4 linked regions of the Caenorhabditis elegans genome follow. The protein of the gene in region 4 interacts with the protein of the main gene of each other region in a pairwise test. Each region holds a gene or a part of one and is shown on either strand. Other genes may lie near its edges.

Evidence for each region.
Region 1: the proteins of pph-4.1 (region 4) and ifb-1 interact in a two-hybrid assay, tested with the Caenorhabditis elegans proteins (one large-scale study listed by BioGRID).
Region 2: the proteins of pph-4.1 (region 4) and EEED8.3 interact in a two-hybrid assay, tested with the Caenorhabditis elegans proteins (one large-scale study listed by BioGRID).
Region 3: the proteins of pph-4.1 (region 4) and dnc-3 interact in a two-hybrid assay, tested with the Caenorhabditis elegans proteins (one large-scale study listed by BioGRID).

What each region holds. Positions count from the first base shown.
Region 1 is NC_003280.10:5,763,613-5,771,625, reverse strand, and holds the start of ifb-1 (Intermediate filament protein ifb-1), read right to left. Parts: upstream 6,009-8,013; 5' UTR 5,985-6,008; coding exon 5,852-5,984; intron 3,405-5,851; exon of another isoform or gene 3,281-3,404; intron 2,682-3,280; exon of another isoform or gene 2,666-2,681; coding exon of another isoform or gene 2,626-2,665; intron 2,528-2,625; coding exon 2,277-2,527; intron 1,980-2,276; coding exon 1,858-1,979; intron 1,813-1,857; coding exon 1,024-1,812; intron 914-1,023; coding exon 712-913; intron 665-711; coding exon 557-664; intron 100-556; coding exon 1-99. UniProt on the Caenorhabditis elegans protein: Cytoplasmic intermediate filaments provide mechanical strength to cells. Essential protein, involved in attachment structures in epidermal cells that connect muscles to the external cuticle. Required in morphogenesis and epidermal integrity.
Region 2 is NC_003280.10:5,412,698-5,415,873, reverse strand, and holds EEED8.3 (lipocalin/fatty-acid binding family protein), read right to left. Parts: upstream 1,599-3,176; 5' UTR 1,493-1,598; intron 1,364-1,492; 5' UTR 1,264-1,363; coding exon 1,084-1,263; intron 1,010-1,083; coding exon 605-1,009; 3' UTR 504-604; downstream 1-503. Other genes in the region: EEED8.14 (MATH domain-containing protein), read left to right, coding at 1,860-1,943, 1,992-2,360, 2,409-2,603, 2,654-3,067.
Region 3 is NC_003280.10:3,552,259-3,555,149, reverse strand, and holds dnc-3 (DyNactin Complex component), read right to left. Parts: upstream 1,371-2,891; 5' UTR 1,315-1,370; coding exon 1,243-1,314; intron 1,193-1,242; coding exon 1,070-1,192; intron 1,025-1,069; coding exon 914-1,024; intron 862-913; coding exon 761-861; intron 712-760; coding exon 603-711; 3' UTR 533-602; downstream 1-532. Other genes in the region: W10G11.19 (DUF4105 domain-containing protein), read right to left, coding at 1,755-1,970, 2,014-2,380.
Region 4 is NC_003281.10:12,345,295-12,353,146, forward strand, and holds pph-4.1 (Serine/threonine-protein phosphatase 4 catalytic subunit 1), read right to left. Parts: upstream 6,043-7,852; 5' UTR 6,037-6,042; coding exon 5,936-6,036; intron 5,881-5,935; coding exon 5,757-5,880; intron 5,699-5,756; coding exon 5,573-5,698; intron 5,498-5,572; coding exon 5,219-5,497; intron 3,328-5,218; coding exon 3,086-3,327; intron 401-3,085; coding exon 271-400; 3' UTR 29-270; downstream 1-28. Other genes in the region: FAM172 family protein homolog Y75B8A.31, read left to right, coding at 6,354-6,530, 6,599-6,862, 6,916-7,035. UniProt on the Caenorhabditis elegans protein: Protein phosphatase which plays an essential role in meiosis and in early embryonic mitosis.

The sequences.
Region 1 (8,013 bases), on a different chromosome or scaffold from region 4:
TGACGTCACAACATTGGCTCCGATTCCCCAGGTGTTCTCTCCATCGAAGACAAGAGACTCTGGTGGGTTGTTGATGCCTCCTTGGTCACGGGCGTAGATCTGGAAATTTATTGGAATTGGAATATTCTCTTTTCGAAATTATGTAGATTAGTTTCTCAGCAAATGCGAGAAACCCTTAGACTAACCCGAAACGATTAAATTTCATAATGAGACCTCTCAGAAAATGTTTCCAAATTTCTTATGGTGGCTCAAAACTTGGGGAAAACATTTTCAAATTTCTAAAACCTGTAACTCTGATAAAGAGCATTAGAGAAATAACAACTGATTTTCCGATATTGCTACATGGACAATCTCACAAAATTTCAGATTTTAGCAAAATTTGGCCATTCCCTTTCAAAATTTTTTTTTTGGAAATTTTCAGGTGAAAGTACGTTTTTAACGGGCTTCAGACTATGTTGGCTGGGTTTCTCAAAAATATAGTGGCAGACTAAAAAAATACTAAGAATATTTACATAGCTACACACTTTTTTCTAAAACAATGATAAAAATAACTTACGGTCAAGTTCTTTCCTGGCTTGATAACAACATTGGCTGGAATGGAATAGACAATTTCGCGTCTTCCATCCAACTTTCTTCTGATTTTGTGCTCACCAACATTCTCATCCTGAAATAAAATTTTCAACATTTCAAAACCAAAAAGCTTCAACATACCTTGTTTCTGTGCGAGTTCTCAAGCTTGATGAACTTTCCATTTGGATCACACTCGGAAATTGTCACATTTCCCTTGGCGGATCTTTGGAAGGTGGTCTTGGTGGATACCTCACCGCGAACTGATCTTGTCGAATCAGTGTTTTCTTGTTGTTGGAGAGAATGCGTCTTGACGGCTTGCTCAACCATTTGGGTGAGTCCGACTCTGCAAATATATTTTTGAAACTTTTGAGAAAGGTTTTAGAACAAAATGATAACAAAACTGCCCAAAATTTGGCTTGCTGGGAATATTGATTAAATAACGATAATAATTACCTGGTCTCTTCTCCCTCGAGCATTTTTCTGTAGATGGCAATTTCGGCGTCAAGCATTTGCTTGGTATCCAAAAGAGCTTGAAGCTCAGCAACCAATGTTTGGCATTCCTCACGCATTCTTCTCAATGTAGCATCTCTGTCGTTGAGGGCAGCTTCGTATTGTCTTTGATCGTCGGTCAATTGGTAGTTCAAGTTCTGAACTTCCTTCTCCAAAAGTGAGTTCTTGTTCTCCAAATCTCCCAATTTTCCGCGGAGATCTCCAATGTTGTCTCTCATTCTCTTGACCTCATCCCTCTGGTAGGTGGACTCCATATTGGCACGGTTGGCAGATCCTTGAACCTCGGAAACCTTGAGCTTGTACCAGGACTCCATGTCTTGCTTTCCTTGCTTGGCAATGATATCATACTCATCTTTGATATCACGGATGGCAAGAGCCAATTCGTTTTTGAAGAACTCTCTGGTGTCAGCTGGAGCCTGAGCAAGGAGAGCTTGAAGTTCCTTAACCTCTTGTTCGTGAACTCTTCTCAAGAATTCGAGCTCCTCCATCAAAGTCTGCACTTGATTTTGGAAGTCAATTCTGCCAATGGTCTCATCATCAAGATCGCTTCTGGCCTTCTGAAGTTCTTCCCAGATTCTCGAGTTGTCAGCTGTAACACGCTTCTCCTCATCTGTCAATTGCTTGAAACGAGCACGGAGCATCTCAACTTCGGATTGAGCATCAGCGATAGCATTGGTCCATTGGGAGATCTTCTCGCGATCGGACTCACGGCGTTGCTGGATATCTTCGTATCTGAATAAATATTGATAAGCAACAGAAAATTAAGAATAAATAAACCTGGATCTGTACTCAGCCAAGTCGTCACGGTGTCTGGCAACTTTCACATCAACCTCTGCCTTTCTACGAGCAGCATCGTCAATGTCCTTACGAGCTGTTGAGAGGGATTCGGAGTATTTGATCTGAAATTAACAATTTGAATAGGAAAGAAGCTTTAAGAAGTTTGTTCCAAAATATAGGTTGAAATTTTAAAAAAACACTGGACAGGAAGCGCACAGATTTTCTTCTGGTAAGTTGAAGATTTTAAGGATGTTTGAGAGAATTCTCTAATATAGTAAATAAAATCTTGAAAGTTTCGAATATATATCTAAATAGAAATTACTGATTCACAATCAAATAATAAATGTTTTTTCTACAACTACTTCAGTTTTTTGCTTGCAGAAGCTTGCTTAAAATTTATTTGAAATTCACTAAAATACCTTAATCTCGGATGTGTCTTTTCCCCATTTTCCGCGAAGCTCATCCAAATCAGCAACCAATTTACGGTTCTGCTCTTCGAGTTTCTTGACACGATCAATGTAATTTCCGAGACGATCATTGAGTCCCTGCAGTGTCTTCTTTTCCTTATCAGTCGCCTCAAGGAACGATTTTGCTGCGTTTGCGGACAAGGCCGGTGAAATTCCTCCGACTGTAGCTGATCCCATCTCTGTCACCATCTTTAGCACGCGTCCTGAACGTTTTTATAATGATAATTAGGAGATTAGATTTGATTTGAGTGTTTTTATATTTCTATTGGGAATTTATATTTCGATATTCTTCTATTCTTACCTCCTGACATTGGTGCCTGTGGCGCTGATTCAGCCTCCATTTCTGATGTGTTTTAGCTTGAAATTTTAAAGTTTTTCTAGAAGATTAAGGGAAAAAAAATAATGAGGAACAAGTTCGAAAATTTCTGAATGAAAAATGAAAAACAAATGGTATAGAAACTAAATGTAAGTGTCACAAACACTATGCAAAATAACGGAAACCGTCGACCAATTCTGACCCTCTTCTGAATACTCCACCCAACGAAGAAATAGCATTAAATTTGTGGAGAACTTAGAGAAAAAGAATGAAGGTGTGTCAATGGTTTTGCCTTCCCGATCATCACCGATGATAGAAAATGGAGAAAGAGAAGAAGATATAATGGTGATAAGTTGAAGACAACGGACATGTACACATACGTACAGATTGCGAGTTGACTGTGCCTATGAATGAATGGATAAATTGGAAGAAAAGTGGAAAGAGATCAAGACACTACTTACTTAGAAATTGAAGATGAAGAATACGTCAAGGTTGTTGTGGGCGGAGTCAACTAAAGATAATCATCTTGATCAGATCTCAATCATTCATTTTTGTTATCTTTTTTAAATTGCGGGGAAGCTAATTAATTTAACTAGGATTCCATTTTTGACATTTTTTGGTAAGGGAGATATTTTTGTTTCAGAAACTAAATCTAATGGTAGGAAGGCTTATTTTTAGGCCAACGTACCTGTTTTATTTTTGTCAATTTGATAGAAATTCAATTAAGAAAAACATCATTTCCAGTCCTCAAAAATGTTTTTAAGTTTAAGAATCTTGAAACACGGGCCGCAAAAATTGACTTATCTCAAGTTAGAACAAAATTGGTTAAAAAATTAGTTTTGACAACTTAAATGTAAGATGGGACATTTCTAATTGAAAAAAAAAACTCTACACCATCTTGCAATAAATCGGAGAAATCCGAGATTCTATCCGAGAAGATCTCATAAATCAAGTGATAATCAGTATAATAAGTTCTTGTCACTGTTCCACCCAATTCTCACTCATTAAAACTAAATGACTAATCACACATAAAAAATGGGTGTTTTCCATGTCTCAGTTTCTCATCATTCAAAATAGTCACATCTTGGGTGTGGTCATTCCTTCCTTTCTCACCTATTTCTCATCTATTTCGTAACTGTATTCTAAATTAAAAGTTATTCAGGGGATTCTTTTAATTTTAATTCGTTACCCAAAAAAAAACAAAATTAAAATAAATGATGAATAAAATCAATAAAAGCTCGGATTTCTTCAAAGTCCGTCAAGTTTTCAAGTGTGTTGAGCAGTCAGCCGGCTGGCGGAAAGTGTGCCCAAGAAACAACAAACTAAACATTTTGTTGACTTAATCGGCTCAATGTATCTTTTTATACATGTTATCTCAACTGGTTACGAAAATTGAAATATTGTATTTAAAACTGTCTGAAATTTTGGTGCCTCTTTCAATCTGTTATTTGCTTTTTGCATTTTATTTCCAAAAATGTTGCCATTTTTATGTATATGCATAGTTGAAGACTATTTGCCTAACAACTCTTTCTGTCATGCACTATAAACTTGATGGAACTTGAACTTTTAAATTCAATAGATTTTTGGTTTGAAAATGAAGGGCGTTCCTCAGTGATTATGCTAATTGTGAGACTGTATCGAGAGACGAGAAAACCCAGAGATTTATGGGATTTTTTGGATGAGAAAAAGTGGATTTAATGACGGTTGAATAGGAAACGATATGGGCTGCCGGAAAAAAATCTTGTGGTCTTATATTTTGATCTTGATCTCCAGATTTGCTTAAAACAATAAAAAAGAACAATTTTTCTTTTGTTATGGTAATGCCTGCCTATTTTCTATTTTCACAGTGAGTTAACTTGCTCAAAGAACAACTAAAAATTACAAACATAAAAGATAACTTGTGTTTAGGCAGCAGATACGTGCGTAGGCTTACGGCAAGTTATAAGAAGCTAATACTATGTAGTAAGTTTACGTACCTAAATCTCTGACTTAACAAACAATTTTCAATTTCAAATTTTTACTGTTAAAAACTGTTTTTAGCTTTTAATTAAATATATTTCGACTGCAGTTTTTGAAGTTTTAATTATCCTGACATTTTATGCTAAAATTGCCAATTTCAAATTTTCCCCATTTTTGCCTCAAAACTCCAAAAATATTAATATTTGTTTAATTTTTGAGGAATTCCCCCATTTATTCACAGAAATTTCACTTCATAAAAACCTGTTTCTAGATTTTTGTTAAACTATGAAAAAGTGTGGTTTCTTGCCAAGTGAGCAAATATTAAGAAAACTCATTAAATTAAAAATTGCATTTAAAGGCATAAAGTATTACTTTTTATCTTTTAACTTTTATAATTTCGAAAATAATTGATTTTAAGTGATATTTTTAAGCAGAAGATTTTGGATCAACTCCGAGTAGAAAAAATGTAAAATCCCTGCTCAAAATATTATCCTCTACCAAACTGTTCACCTTTCTCAAAAACGTTTCGTTTAGCCAAGAACAAATCAACGCGTTCGCACTGATAACGACTCTTGCTCTCTTTTTCTCGTTTTTATATTTTCTTTTCATCCTCCAGGTCTATATTTCCATCCTCATTTCTATTGTATAGCACAGCAAAAACCAATATTTACTTCATCTTCCAATTGATTAATAAAACCACCCAAACTATTTTTTTGCAATCGGATGAACGAGAGAGAGAGAGAGAGAATAAAGTGTTCGGTTCGATTGATGCGACTGTTCACTAATTCGCTTTGAATTCAAATACATAATTATGGATGGGTAGTAGACGGATAAACATGTAAACAGAGAAATAGAGAAAGAAAGGAAAAAAGAATATTGGAATATTGGTTCAGTTAATAGTTGATCGGATGTATAGTGTCAACTTGAATTAAGGTCATCTATAAGACCGGTCCAGGAGAAAAATAGCTTGAAGGTTTACTACTTTTGAAAAAATAAAAGTATATTCTGAAACTCTCAATCTAACAGGAAAGTATAGAAAATACGTTGGAAATTGAGTGATCTCTGAAGCTTAGACTTCAGTAGGAAATTTTTTTAAAAGATATATAACTATCCGGATTTCAAATCAAGAATTTGAAACAAGAAATGCTCCTGGTATTGATGATTATTTTCAGAGGAAAGGATATAGTAATAGCTGAAATTTTTTTTAATCTTTACCGTTTTCAACTTTAAATTTTTTTAAAATCTAACTAACCTCCGGATCCTGCTCCATTTCCACCAGACACGTAGTTTCCAGACTGACGTGATTGAGAGCGAACCGCTGTTCTTGGCTGGATGGTGGATCTGTATTGCATCTCGTACTCGGAAGATTCCTTGTGAGACGACATCTTCTTTCAGAAGTTTGACGCTACCTGAAATTTTTTTTTTGAAAATATAGAAGCTGAATTGGGAAAATACAGAAAACTGAGCAAAAAGTAACAATTACAAATTTTAATAAAAAGTGTTAAACCTTAAAACAACAATATGATAAAAAAAAATGTTTCTGCATCCTTCGGCATCCAATTTGTTCCTTATCAAAACCCAAATAAGCGTGGCCGGTTTTCAACAAACATACACACTCATATATATGTTCAACATTTTTTTGAGTACACTCCACAAAAAAACAGAAAACAAATAAGGTGGAGGAGGAGTGACTGAACACGCCCATTTTTGTTCATGGAAATCAGAATTGAATATGGGTGGAAGGACATGATGGTGAGTCAACGTTAACCTGTCAAACAAATTGAAACACCCAAGCACATTCCGGAGAATTGTTAGATGGAAGAACAATAGAGATTGAATTTCTCGCGCATTGTGCAGGGAAATTTGCAAGAATTGGGTGGAAAATGACGAGAAAATGATGGAAGTTAAATGATTTTATTCATGATTTTTTTAAAAGATTATCTTGATTTTTTTTTATTTCTGCAGACTACAGTAAATGCTTCTTATAATTGTTTTTTTCGAGCAACGTGAAATGATCGCAAAATAATAAAAACCTTCTAGGTAGGCACGAAACCTACTAGAATTCACAGGAAAAATAGGATGCAACCAAGTACGAAAGCCGGCAAAAAGGAATGATTTCATGCCTATCTCCTTTAAAGACTTAATTGTTCAGATCTGAAAAACTTTCTAAAAAAAGTGGGACAGCGAAATTTATGTTGCATTTTGTTTCGTAAAGTTTTCAACTTTTATGAATGATTTTGAAAATGAATTGCTGTTTTTTTTTTAATTTTAGTATTCATATTTTCATACCTAAAGCTTGTTGACTCAAACTTAAAATCATAATAAAACTAGCAAAAGATGTGAAGAAACATGTGGGTGTTCAGTGAGTCATAAAGTTGGAAATTTATTGAGTAATTGTATGACCAAGTTCTAATTGACACTACTTGAAATCCTAAACCATTCGGTTACTCATTCACGATAGTTTAGAAAGCTTAAAGTAACTTTGGGGTGGAGTGAATAAAAGTAGAAAAAGACACAGTGCTCCTGCTCTGCTCGGAGTAAAAAAGTGAAGCGAAAAAAATGAAATCGGAAAGACACACACACACAAGCATTCCTACAGAATACCGAAAGGGTATTGTGAGGACGGTCTGTTGCGCCGGGGGTCGATGAGGCAGAGGCCCTGAGAAGCGCCCCCACCAATTGCTCCGCCCCCATTTTGTTGCCGAACCGTCGAAAAACGAGCTGCTATTTGCGTTCCTCCTTCTTTTTTCTCTCTGCGCGCTTCACTTTTTGAAATGATGCGCTTGGCGTATAGGCGTATTCCGAGAGAATTTAGAAGAGATGACGACTACTTTTACCTCATAGGAAGTGGCCGATTATCACAGTCAAGGACAAGAGAGAAATGATTTGAAATGGAAAAATGAGGAGATGTTAGTGAGGGAATTGGAAGAGGGGGAGAATAAGACATTGTTAACATTTTGTTTTCATTTATGGGTGAGAATGATGACAAGATTGGAGGTACAAGTGATCAAATAGTTCTACGAAAATGTTCCGTGCTGGCTAAGGTTTTGCATTTTTAATGTTGGGCTGTGGTAAAAAAATTAAGAACTCATTGTCAGTAAACAAGTTTTGTAAACATTGAAACCTGTAAAAAAATAGTTTAAAATTATCGCCGTCCAGTACTAAAGCTGAGGCATACCGTATTTTCCCTACAAAGTCTGCACCACAATTACTCTACTTTGACGGCCTATTTTCCAATTGTCTCAAGTGTTATCAAAAAATTCTCTACAACCAAAATATAGAGACATATTTGGTACATATTTGGTAGTTGACAATTTATTGATAAAATTTAAAGCAACCGAGATATATTCTGCCAAAGTAGAACCAGAAGATACAAGTCTAATAGGAAGAATACGGTAAGTTGAGGCCAATTTC
Region 2 (3,176 bases), on a different chromosome or scaffold from region 4:
CTTTGCCTTCTAGGGGCCTTCTGTGTGCCTGCAGACGTGCCTCCATTTTTATTTGTTACTTTTACAAAGAAAATAAATTGAAGTTTTTTTGGTTCAGTCATTGTCCAAAAGGTATGAACAGCAGGCAATTAACTACGCACGTTGGTAGGCAAGCAGTCTTGAAGTAGGTAAGTAGGCAGGCAGGCTTGAAGTAGGCGTGTAGGCATGTAGGCAAGTAAACATATACTGATTTTATATTTTGCTTTTATATACTCTCTGATTGATTCCAGAGAAAAAGGTTTTCAGTTGGACAACTTTTTTTGTATTTTAAAATCCAATTCCCGGACTGATCTGGGTGAAAAATTGTGGAATATTTCGGGTTACGGTAGCTTCCGATCGTGTCGAGACGGAAACGAAATTTTGTACCAAAAAATGCCAAATTCCGCGAACCAAGCAAGTAAAACATGCCTATAAAATTCTCCGCATCTGCAAATAAGTTTCAAATTTTAAATCGTCAATCGAGAAAGAAGAAATCAAAGGTTTATTGTCACGGTCAACTTGGTTGAAAATACGAATTAAAAATAACGGCGTTAAATGGAATAAAAATAGTAATATCATAAGTTGTTCAGTTAACACGCTTGTATACTCTCTTGCACCGAAAGTTCCCTCTGCTGTTGAAAACCACAAGATTTCCATTTTTGATGAGTCTCTCCACTTTCCAAACAATCGATCCGTCAGCAATCCTCTTGCAAATGGTGCTCATCATGTTTCCTTCTGCATGCGTTGAAACCGCATTGTCGTCCCTGGCAATTGGCTTATCAAACTCGAAAATTGTAGGAATCAGAGATTTTCCGAGCAAATCGGTGTGAACATGAAGTTGATTGCCGTTCATCTTGTAACAAGTAATTCCGTGCTCCCAGGCCATTTGGGTTATCTCCGGGAACTTTTCGAGAGTGAAATATTCTTGGAGATTTTCAGAGGATGCAAGTTTCCATTTCCCGATCATGGCAGTGAGGATTTGAATTGGAGCCTGAAAATTGAAAATTTTACATCAGCAAAATGAAAAAGTGAATCTATTCCCCAGCAATTAAAACTTGATCTCACCTCTTTCTTCTTCTTCTCATTCGAATTGATATTTACTTCTTTAACAGTATTTCCTTTCGTTGAAACATATTGAAAATTCTCCGAGTTGTCAGTATTTTCAATTTTCTCGAACTTCTCTTCTTCGACCATTTCGAAGCTCGAATCGTAATCGATATCATCAAGAACTGAAGCAGTTGACATTTTCAGTTGGACTGTGGAGAATATAGAAGAAATAGGCGCAGGGAAGCAATGTGGTCGTTGCAGAAGGAATGATCAACAAGGTGAACGGTAGAGAATACATCTGGAAATTAGAATATTTACCGGGTAGATCAATTCTTAAAGTTTTGTTTCTAATTTCGAGCTTCGAGTAGTTCTAAATTTAAAACGGTTTGAAAGTTAGTTTTTTTAAATAATAATTTTTGATACTTACTTTGAAAAAAATCCAGCAGACTTATTGAAGCGAAGAGTAGAATTAAAACCGTATTATTCAATCAGAAATCGACAGATATAAATCTAGATTTTTGATTCATTTTTCGGAAAAAAACTTTGTATACAGTACTTTAAAGGCGCACGCATTCATTTTTGTAAACGGTCTCCTAACGAAATACAGTAACCTTCTTGCTCAGCTTTCGTTAAAATCTTTTGTTTCTGAGTACTGCTGATTTTCGATTCGATCTGCGCTAAAATTATTTCTTCCGTTGTTCATAAATTTCTAGAAAAATAATTTTAAAGGATCTTTACTGAAATTCGCGTATTTTCAGCGCTCACTGGAGTTCTCAACACACGAAATCGTCTAGATGGAGAATTTCCGGGATTATATACATTCGAAGCTTCAAAAACTTCATCAAGACACGGAGAAGATGCTTGATATGCTTTATCAGGTTTGTAAATATTAAGTGAATTTGTTCTCAACGTTTAAAAAGTTTTAGGATCCTCCAGTTGATCCACGATGCACCGAACATTTTTCCTTGCTTGATCGAAAAGTGGAAATAATATCGGAGGTTCAAGCGATACAAGAAAAGAAAATTGGACTTCTCAATGAGAGTTTGATGAACATTCAGAAGCAGCCAGCGACATCAGAGCCATCGAATGCAGAATTTATTTCGAACACCAAAACAGAACTTCGAGAGATGCGTTCAGAAATCAAGTATGTGGAAAGTGAGCAGAAGCTGCAAGATCACGAACTTCGATTGATGAGAAACGATCAAGATAATGATAAAAAATCAATTCAAGCTTTGAGCGTCGAAGTAACCGAATTGAAAAGTACCCAGAGGGATTCTGAAAATGAAAATGAATCGGTGATTGATTTTTGAATTTGAAATTTTTTAATAATCTTTAATTTTTAGATACAGTACCAAGAATTCAAGATTCACAAAGAAGAAGTTCTCAATGACGTGAAGTCAATTCATGGCGAGATTATGGAGATGAAAAAGAAACAAAATGTTTCCGAACTTTTCAATGAGGAAGTTATCAAAGAGTTCAAAGCAATCAACAGAGAGATGAAAGCTCTTGGAGCAAAAGGTTATAATGAGAAGAAAGAGGTTTGTTTCTGGAAATATAAAATAATTGGAATTTGATTCGATTTTTTTAGAAAATGGTTCTGATTGAAGAGGAAATCGTTGGAACATGGAAACCTTCTTCATTGCACAACTACCCACATTGTGCAAAACCTGAGGATCCAATTAGAAAGAGTCAATGGCTGAATGGACATCTGAGATATTCTCTCCACGGAGAATACTTGACATGGAAATTATTCGTTTTAATTGATAATACCTGGGATACTGTCAAGGAAACAACAATTCTTCTTGGATATGAAACGAAATATTCCGATCACACTGAAACTTGGACTTTCGAGAATAATCATCTCATCATCATTTTCAAAAACCGGACTGATCACACCATCATCAAGAAGTTCTTCCAGTTCACTGTCGACGGAAAGTTGCATATTGTATATCACAATTTGGTGGATGACGTCACATGCACTCGAATCTACGAAAAAGAGTAAAACACTCCTCGAAACTAATGCATTTTGTTGTTTCATTTTTGTACATTTCTGTTATGTTGTTACTGTTATAAATTGTTCAATATTTAAACGAGTGTTTTTGAATTTGTAT
Region 3 (2,891 bases), on a different chromosome or scaffold from region 4:
TTTCGCATGGTTAAGAACGTGCTGATTCCCGAATTTTTTGTAGATCAAACTGTAATGGGACAGCCTGGCACTATATGAAATTTATTGGGATGCAAGTACGCTCCACTGATAATTGATTTCAAAAAAATTTTAAAAATACTGATGCAAGCGCGCTCTACTGGTAATTAGCTGTAATTTTGGATTACAACTGCGCTACATAGAGATTTTGGGAAAATTTTGAAAATTACCTTGCTGCAAGCGCGCTCCATCGAGAATTACTAAAAATTTTGGAAAAAAGTGAGGTGTAAGTGCGCTCCACTGAGAAATATTCAAATTTTCGTAAAATCTAATAATGCAAGCGCGCTCCACGGAGAAAAGTTCAAATTTTTTGAAAAATCTAGTAATTCAAATGGAGAGAAAACTATTTTTCTTGCGAGGAAAAAAATTGGAAAAAAACAAATTTTCCAATTTCCCGAAACAACGTCATCATCTTGCCCACTTCGAAAAGTCGATAATTGCTGCCAATTCGTCTTTCTGTCTAACAAAAAACTTGTAGAATTTCAATTTTTACAGGAAAACAAAGAAAATAAAAATAAATTACAATCCAGCGAAAAAATATTTAATTATTTAGCTTTTGCGTTGATTTTCGTCTGCAGATCCAGCACTTTTTCGGTGATTTTTTGGTTGATCATTGACCGCTCGGCGACAAGTGTCTGGAATTCTCCGTAGGTTCTGAAATTTTGGAAATTTCAGATTTTTAGGCTTTAAAAACTGCAATTACTTGGTCCAGTCCTCCAGGGCCTTCTCGTATTTTTCGATTTCAGCGTCAAGCTCCGGTTGAAGTGCAGCCACTTTTGAGAAGAGCTCCTGGTCGAGGCAGGGCTGAAATTTTTTATTTTTCTTCAATTTTCTCTGAAAAATCGCAAAAAAAGACCTCAAGAGCATCTGAAAATTGTTTAATCCGTTCCGCTCGTTCATTGATCAGCTTTTCCGCGTATTTTACAGACTCTATTTTGTCAGTCAGCGATCCATATGGGCCGGATGTCTGAAAAATCGATTTTTCACAGAAAATTCAGTTTTTCCAACGTACTTCCGTGGCGATTTTGCTCAAATGCTCCAGCTTTTGAATGGGAATCGACATTAGCAGATTCGCCTTACAATCATCTCGTAATTTGGATTGAAGAGCCTCGATTTGAGAGGGAATTGATGTTTTCTGGAAAAAAAATTGGCATTTTTATTGGAAATTGCGCGAAAAAAGCTTACCGTGGTGAGATCATCGATTCCTAGAACTTCTTCAATTTCAGAAATCTTTTTTTCAAGCTCGATCATGTCCATTTTCAGATTTAAAATCAAAAGATCGAAAAAGAAAAATAATAATTGAGAAATTGTGTGCAATGGGACGTGACGGTGTCAATGCGTACTTTGCATTTTATTTGACGCGCAAGTGATTTTCAGTGTGGAAACTAGGATATCGCCTGCAATTCTACATTAAAATTGTCTGTTTTTTATTAAATCTTAGTATGAAAGCTTAAAACTGAAAATTTTCATCGAAATTTCTTGTTATTTCCTTAAAACAGCTAAAAAAAGGATTCTTTTGTCCGCAATCTACCGTGGCGGTGTACCTGCGGAACTGGCATTTAAAATGACGAGCAGGGAAAATTAATTAATTCTTAAATATAAATTTTTAATGCAATTTTAATCTGTAAAACATCAAATTAAAACAAATTAAATTATTTATTTTTACCAAATTACAACAGAGCAATTTTTTAAAATTCCTATAGCTCGTCCCTAGTCCACTCCACGGCCGTGAACCCTTTCTCTAGCTCTTCCACGTCATCATACCGCTCCAACAGATTCAAACGAGCAATTGGGAACTTGAAGTTTTCAATGAGCTCCTGGCAGTGAACTGGCTCCAAATTCCGAACCCATGAAAGAATTCCAGTGAAATTGTCGTTTTCAGCGGGTTTTGTGTGGATGCACCATCCTTTTTCCTGGAAAAAATGAATTTAATTTGAAGTTAAAAAGTGAAAGTACCTGTCGCCGAATGACAATATAGCTCGGGGAATTCACATTAAAAACGCTCATCACATACAGTCCAAACAGGTCGAAACCGGTTACAGCCGAAAAATGAGCAATTCGATCGCCGCTTTGCTGCTCGGCAGCAGATTTTTTGAATCCTTCAGAATTTTTAGAGTCCAGTGGGTCGAAAAATACGACCAGAGGCTTCTGGGTTCCGGTGGCGAAGAGGAAATCGGAGGGACTTGACAATTGATGACAGCCCGGGTGTACACCGTCCTCCAAGTAGTCGACCATTCGATTCCAGTTGAGATCCTTATGAAGTGTGAAGGCTTTTACGAAGGGGTCATAGGGCTTCATCGTGATGAAGGCAGGGTAGATGGACCTGAAAGATCGGGAAATTTGAAATTTGGAAAATTCGAAAATTTCCAGGAAAAAAAAACCAATTTTTCTCGTTAAAATTCAATTTCTTCTGAAAAAAAATACATTTTTAGCCAAAATCCCAGTTTTGGGTCTTGGCACGAACGAATTTGGCTATCGTGTGGGGGTACTGTAGTTGGAAAGTTACGTTCGCGGCAGGACCCAAAAAGTTGCGATTACGACTAAAAACTCGGACTGGCATAATATTTTTTCGATCAAATCCATGCTTTGGGTCTTGGCACGAACAAAACTTCTCAGCTACCACGTGGTGTCAGAGTGTCTCCTTTTTGATCTACGTAGATCTACAAAAAATGCGGGAGAAGAGACGCAGAGTTCTCAATTGATTTCCCATGGTTAAGAACGTGCTGACGTCACTCTTTGCTAGGGGAAAAATTCCTGGATTTTTGTAGATCAAACCGCAATGAGACAGCCTGGCACCACGTGAGCTACCATGTGGGGTACTGTAGTTGGAAATT
Region 4 (7,852 bases):
TCAAATCAAATCGGTTTTAAAAATGAATAGCATGAAATAAATTTTAATACTTTTTTTTGTCGAAAAAAAAATAAATCCGTAAAATTTGGAGGGGGGTGGACATTTACAGAAAAATGTGTGTGTGTGTGTGGAAAATAATAATTAAATATTGAAATATTTTTGTGGGAGCAAAAAAAAAAGGAAAAAAATGGTGTTTCGGCGATATAAAAGGGGGAGATTCTTCGGAATTTTTGGGCGAGAAAGAAATTTCGAGAAAATTTCGAGAAAAAATTAGAGGAAATAGTCGGCGTGCGGTTTTTTGGCCGGTGCTCCGCGATTTTCTTGTGGAGCAGCTTCGAAAATTGTGAATTCCTTGTTGAGATTCTCGTCGAGCTCGAGAATTGCCGCCACGTTGCCGCATCTGGAAAATTTTCATTAAGTTTTTTTTTACTGCAAAAAAAGCTCAAGTTTTCCGGGAAATTCAATTTTTCTTTTGAAACAAATTTTTGGGTTTGATCTACAAAAAATGCGGGATTTTTTTGTCCAAAAAATGTGACGTCAACACGTTCTTAATCATGCAAAATCAGTGCGTCACTTCTCCCGCATTTTTGTAGATCAAACCGAAATGGGACACTCTGGCACTACGTGATTTTGGCGGGAAAATTTTAAATTTTCTGGAAACAAATTTTGGCGGGAAAATTTAAATTTTTTGGAAACAAATTTTGGCGGGAAAATTCAAATTTTTTGGGAACAAAGTTTGGCGGGAAAATTCAAATTTTTTGGAAACAAATTTTGGCGGGAAAATTCAAATTTTCTGGAATCAAATTTTGGCGGGAAAATTCAAATTTTCTGGAAACAAATTTTGGCGGGAAAATTTAAATTTTCTTTTAAAAACATATTTTGACGGGAAAATTCAAATTTTTTGGAAACAAATTTTGGCGGGAAGTTTAAATTTTTTTGGAAACAAATTTTGGCGGGAAAATTCAAATTTTTTGGAAACAAATTTTGGCGGGAAAATTCAAATTTTTTGGAAACAAATTTTGGCGGGAAAATTCAAATTTTTTGGAAACAAATTTTGGCGGGAAAATTCAAATTTTCTGGAATCAAATTTTGGCGGGAAAATTCAAATTTTCTGGAAACAAATTTTGGCGGGAAAATTTAAATTTTCTTTTAAAAACATATTTTGACGGGAAAATTCAAATTTTTTGGAAACAAATTTTGGCCGGAAAATTCAAATTTTTTGGAAACAAATTTTGGCGGGAAAATTCAAATTTTTTGGAAACAAATTTTGGCCGGAAAATTTGAATTTTTTGGAAACAAATTTTGGCGGGAAAATTTAAATTTTCTTTTAAAAACATATTTTGACGGGAAAATTCAAATTTTTTGGAAACAAATTTTGGCGGGAAAATTCAAATTTTTTGGAAACAAATTTTGGCGGGAAAATTCAAATTTTCTGGAAACAAATTTTGGCGGGAAAATTCAAATTTTCTGGAATCAAATTTTGGCGGGAAAATTCAAATTTTCTGGAAACAAATTTTGGCGGGAAAATTTAAATTTTCTTTTAAAAACATATTTTGACGGGAAAATTCAAATTTTTTGGAAACAAATTTTGGCGGGAAAATTCAAATTTTTTGGAAACAAATTTTGGCGGGAAAATTCAAATTTTCTGGAAACAAATTTTGGCGGGAAAATTTAAATTTTTTGGAAACAAATTTTGGCGGGAAAATTTAAATTTTCTTTTAAAAACATATTTTGACGGGAAAATTCAAATTTTTTGGAAACAAATTTTGGCGGGAAAATTCAAATTTTCTGGAAACAAATTTTGGCGGGAAAATTTAAATTTTCTTTTAAAAACATATTTTGACGGGAAAATTCAAATTTTTTGGAAACAAATTTTGGCCGGAAAATTCAAATTTTTTGGAAACAAATTTTGGCGGGAAAATTTGAATTTTTTGGAAACAAATTTTGGCGGGAAAATTTAAATTTTCTTTTAAAAACATATTTTGACGGGAAAATTCAAATTTTTTGGAAACAAATTTTGGCGGGAAAATTCAAATTTTTTGGAAACAAATTTTGGCGGGAAAATTCAAATTTTCTGGAAACAAATTTTGGCGGGAAAATTTAAATTTTCTTTTAAAAACATATTTTGACGGGAAAATTCAAATTTTTTGGAAACAAATTTTGGCGGGAAGTGTAAATTTTTTTGGAAACAAATTTTGGCGGGAAAATTCAAATTTTTTGGAAACAAATTTTGGCGGGAAAATTCAAATTTTTTGGAAACAAATTTTGGCGGGAAAATTCAAATTTTTTGGAAACAAATTTTGGCGGGAAAATTCAAATTTTTTGGAAACAAATTTTGGCGGGAAAATTCAAATTTTCTGGAATCAAATTTTGGCGGGAAAATTCAAATTTTCTGGAAACAAATTTTGGCGGGAAAATTTAAATTTTCTGGAAACAAATTTTGGCGGGAAAATTCAAATTTTCTGGAAACAAATTTTGGCGGGAAAATTTAAATTTTCTTTTAAAAACATATTTTGACGGGAAAATTCAAATTTTTTGGAAACAAATTTTGGCCGGAAAATTCAAATTTTTTGGAAACAAATTTTGGCGGGAAAATTCAAATTTTTTGGAAACAAATTTTGGCGGGAAAATTTAAATTTTTTGGAAACAAATTTTGGCGGGAAAATTCAAATTTTCTGGAAACAAATTTTGGCGGGAAAATTTAAATTTTCTTTTAAAAACATATTTTGACGGGAAAATTCAAATTTTTTGGAAACAAATTTTGGCCGGAAAATTCAAATTTTTTGGAAACAAATTTTGGCGGGAAAATTCAAATTTTTTGGAAACAAATTTTGGCGGGAAAATTCAAATTTTTTGGAAACAAATTTTGGCCGGAAAATTTGAATTTTTTTGGAATCAAATTTTGGCGGGAAAATTTAAATTTTTTGGAAACAAATTTTAGCGGGAAAATTCAAATTTTCAGAAAAAAATTGTATTTTTTCCTAAAAATTATACTTTAAATGATAAAAAAGTGACCAAAAATTTTAATTTTTCGTCTTTTTCACGAAAAAAAAATTTCCGTTTTTTTTCCAAATCCATCCCGTACCGATAACAATAGTTGGGCGCCGACCAAACAGTGAGCACTTTCTCGTTGAAATGCCATTTATATCCTTCCATAACCAATTGATGAGCTCTACAGATCAAATCGACTCCGTTCGTTTCGCAAAACGTTTTCGACGCGTCCGCTCCGAATAGATAACCGGCTCCGCGTGGACTTAGGCCCCATCCAACATTTCCTTCTTCGGGGTCCGACCACAGTAGATCACACATTGGACCGTCGTGGGGAACCTGGAAATTTTCAGAATTTTTTTTCGCTTTTTTAGCACAAATTTATACGTTTTTCTATCAAAACGAACAAAATTTGATTAAAAAATTGATTTTTTTTTCAATTTTTGAGGCGGAACGGTGGTTTTGCAAACCTGCGGCGCGGTTTGATTTCTGTCGATTTACGGTGGAGTTTGTGCTACACGTGGATAAGCGTTTTTTTTTTTTTTTCGAATTGTTCTTCAGTTCTGTAATTTTTTTTGTAAACACTATTCAAAAAATATATATATATGGACCCAATTTTTAATGTTGAACACCAAAAAAAATTGGCAAAAATGGCCCAAAACTGTAAATTTACTATTAGAAAAAATTAAAAAATTAATCGACGCTTGTCCGTGTGTATTACAAAATTCTCCGTAAATCGAAATATAGCAAACCGCAGACTTGCAAAACCTTCGCCCCGCTGGAAAAAAGTGATTTCTCGAAAAATTTAACGTAAATTTTGAAATTTCGCTTCAAAATATCCGAAATAGTATCAAATTCAGAAAAATAAAAAGATTTTTCAATTTTGAATTCCCTCCAAAATGAGAACTCAAACTCCGCCCACTCCATCTGATTGGTTGAAAAGTGGGCGGAGCGAATCGCTGATTGGTTGAAGACAAAAATCGCGTTTTTGTGGTTTTTTTCTGATTTTGAGACTATTTTTTGAATTTTTTAGTATTTTTCGGGGAAAAAATCGAAATAAATGAAATAAAAATTAAATTGGTCGATTTTGATGAGAAAAAATTAGAAAAAAGTCTGAAAATTAAAAAAAAAAATTTTTAATGAAAAAAACGGAAATTTTTTTTTAAACGGAAATTTTCGGAAATTTGCCGATTTTCTGGTTATTTTCATTTTCGGCAATTTGCCGATTTGCCAGAAAATTTTAATTCCGGAAATTTGTCGATTTGACGGTTATTTTCATGATCGACAAATTGCCGATTTGCCAGAAAATCTTAATTCCGGAAATTTGCCGGAAATTATCAATTCCAGCAATTTGCCGATTTGCCAGAAATTTTCATTTTCGGCAGTTTGTCGATTTGCCGGAAATTTTTAATTCCGGCAATTTGCCGTTTTTCCGGCGAATTCGGCAAATTTCCGACTTGCCGGAAATTTTTAAATTCCGGCAATTTGCCGATTTGCCGGAAATTATCAATTCCAGCAATTTGCCGATTTGCCGGAAATTATCAATTCCAGCAATTTGCCGATTTGCCGGAAATTTTTAATTCCGGCAATTTGCCGTTTTTCCGGCGAATTCGGCAAATTTCCGACTTGCCGGAAATTTTTAAATTCCGGCAATTTGACGAATTGCCGGAAATTTTCAATTTCGGCAATTTTCCGATTTGCCGAAAATTTTTAAACATGGCAATTTTCCGATTTGCCAGAAATTTTTAATTACGGCAATTTGCCGATTTGCCGGAATTTTTTAATTCCGGCAATTTTTCGATTTGCCGGAAATTTTCAATTTCGCCAATTTGCCACAAATTTTTTAATTCGAACATTTGCCGATTTGCCAGAAAATTTTAATTCCGGCAATTTGTCGATTTGCCGGTTATTTTCATTTTCGGCAATTTGTCGATTTGCCAGAAAGTTTCATTACGGCAGTTTGTCGATTTGCCAGAAATTTTTAATTCCGGCAATTTGTCGATTTGCCGGTTATTTTCATTTTGGGCAAATTTGCCGGTTTGCTGATTTGCCGGAAATTTTTAAATTCCGGCAATTTGCAGATTTGTCGGTTATTTTCATTTTCGAAAATTTTAAAACTTTCCGGCAAATTCGGCAAAATGCCGGAAATTTAAAAAATTGTAATTCACCGAATTTTAACCGAAATTCAAAGCAAAATTCCATTAAAAACAGCATATTTTTTGCGTTTTACCTCCTGCTTCCGATCAATAACACGAATCTGATCCATAGTACTAATCGACGGGGATAATCCACCATGAACACAGAAAACCTTCCCATCAATTACAGCGGCAAGTGATAAGTAGTCGAAAACTTCGGTACAATGTTTCCAAACAGACGCATTTCCATATTTCCGAAGGCATTCATCATAGAACCCGTAGACTTGAGTAATCTGGCGACTTTCGTGATTTCCACGGATCAACATCATTCGATCCGGATAGCGAGCTTTCAGTGCGAGAAGTAGAAGGAATGTCTGGAAAAATATCGATTTTTTGGGAGTTTTTTTTGCAATTTTTTCGCCAGGAAAATTGCAAAAAAGCGGGGGCACCTCCACAGAATAGAAGCCTCGATCCACGAAATCTCCGAGGAACAAATAGTTGGTGTTCGGCACTGGTCCGCCGACTTTGAAGAGCTCCATTAAATCGTAGAACTGGCCGTGGATGTCTCCGCAGATCTGGAAATAGAATTTAAAATGGAAATTTTGATTTAAAAATCGATTTTATCCAACCAACCGTCACCGGAGAATCGATAACCTGGACGTTGCCCTCTTCCGCTAGGATTTCACGAGCTTTTGCGCAAAGTGTTTTGACATCTTGCTCCGCGATGAGCTCACATCTCATCAGCTTTTCTATGTGGCTGAAAATATTTTTTTTTTGTTGATATTTTATTGTTTTTATATCAAAACTGCTACCGATCCAAGTCATGAGTTGTTAGCTGGTCCGATGGGCCGGAAGTCGGTGAGTCGACACGTGAAAATGTGGAATTTGCAGAGTCGGTGCACGCCAGAGCCATTAAAAGCTGTAAAATACGTTGTAAATCGATTTTTTGAATTAATATTTAATTTAAAAACGAAAAAACGAAAAAAACCAATGAAAACAGGCGAAATCGACTTTAAATCCAGAGTTTTTCGTGCAAAAATATAAATTCAGTGTAATATTGGCATTGTGCCAGATTGCCAACAGAGCGCGATTGCGCCGTGTGGACGAGAGAAACCTCGGTCGCGGCCAGGAAATTTTTTTTTTTTTTTAATTTTAAAAATTGTTTTTTCGGAAATTTTCTCTGTTCTAACCAGTTTTTTTGCGAATAATTCAAATAAATTTCAGTGAACAATGTCAAGTTTGGCGAAACTCGGGTACTTTTTCGACGAAAAAGGCGTGCTGAAAACGGAGAAGGACAAAAAACCCTTCAAATTCACTACACAGGAGGATTATGAAGAACTGGGAGAAGCAGTTGATCTGGAAGTTTATGAGCTTCTGGAGACACGTTGTGGGCTGAAGAGAAAGGCGGTAAATTAAGAAATTTTTAAAAAATGGAAAAAAAAATTTAAAAATCAAAAAAAAAAATTTTTTTTCAGCTAAAACTTCCAGGAAAAACCGACGAGGATGAGGATCTAAGCTTCATTTTTGTGTCGAAAAATTTCAAAAAAGCTGCAAATCTTCTAGTATTGATCCACGGAAGCGGTGTCGTCAGAGCCGGACAATGGGCTCGTAGACTCATTATCAATGATAATTTGGAGTGTGGAACTCAGATTCCGTATATCGAAAGAGCTATTGAAAATGGATGGGGTGTTGTGGTGATGAACACTAATTTGAATGAAAGTAAAGATCAGGATTTGAAGGTGTGAAAAAACCCGGGAAATTTCGAAAAATTCGCTGAAAAATCGATTTTCAGTACTCCCGCACACCTGTCGAGCACGCTGAAACTGTCTGGATAGCGTGTATTGAGCCATCGAATGCTAAGAGCATCTACGTGGTGGCTCACAGTCGTGGTGGTTACGACACAGCCAGTGTGGTGGGATTTTCAGCACTTTTTTGGCAAAAAAAAGCGAAAAAATCGATGTTTTTCCGATTTTTCAAGGCGAAAATCCCTGTTTTTCTGAATTTTTTAAAGGAAAATGCAATTTTAATCTATTTTCAGCTTTTTTTTTGGCAAAAAAGAGCGAAAAAACGACATATTTCCGGATTTTTAAGGCGAAAATCCCTGTTTTTCTGAATTTTTGAATAAAAATGCGATTTTAAACTGTTTTCAGCTTTTTTTTGGCTAAAAATGAACGAAAAAATTGACTTTTTCCGAATTTTTAAGCCATAAAACCCTGTTTTTCTGAGTTTTTGGATAAAAATGCGATTTTAAACTGTTTTCAGCACTTTTTTTTTGGCAAAAAAGAGTGAAAAAATCGACTTTTTTTTTGATTTTTTAAGGCAAAAAAACCCTGTTTTTTTGAATTTTTGAATAAAAATGGGATTTAAACTGTTTTCAGCTTTTTTTTGGCTAAAAAAGAGCGAAAAAACGACTTTTCTCCGATTTTTTAAGGCAAAAATCCCTGTTTTTCTGATTTTTTTAAAGGAAAATGCAATTTTAATATATTTTCAGCTTTTTTTTTGGCAAAAAAAGCGAAAAAACGACATATTTCCGGATTTTTAAGGCGAAAATCCCTGTTTTTCTGAATTTTTTGAATAAAAATGGGATTTTAAACTATTTTCAGCTTTTTTTGGCGAAAAATCGACATTTTCGCGATTTTTTAAGGCAAAAACCCCTGTTTCAGGTCTCGCCACGACAAAATTGTGTTCAAGGAATAAGAAAAAAAGGTATGCGCCTTTAAAGATTACTG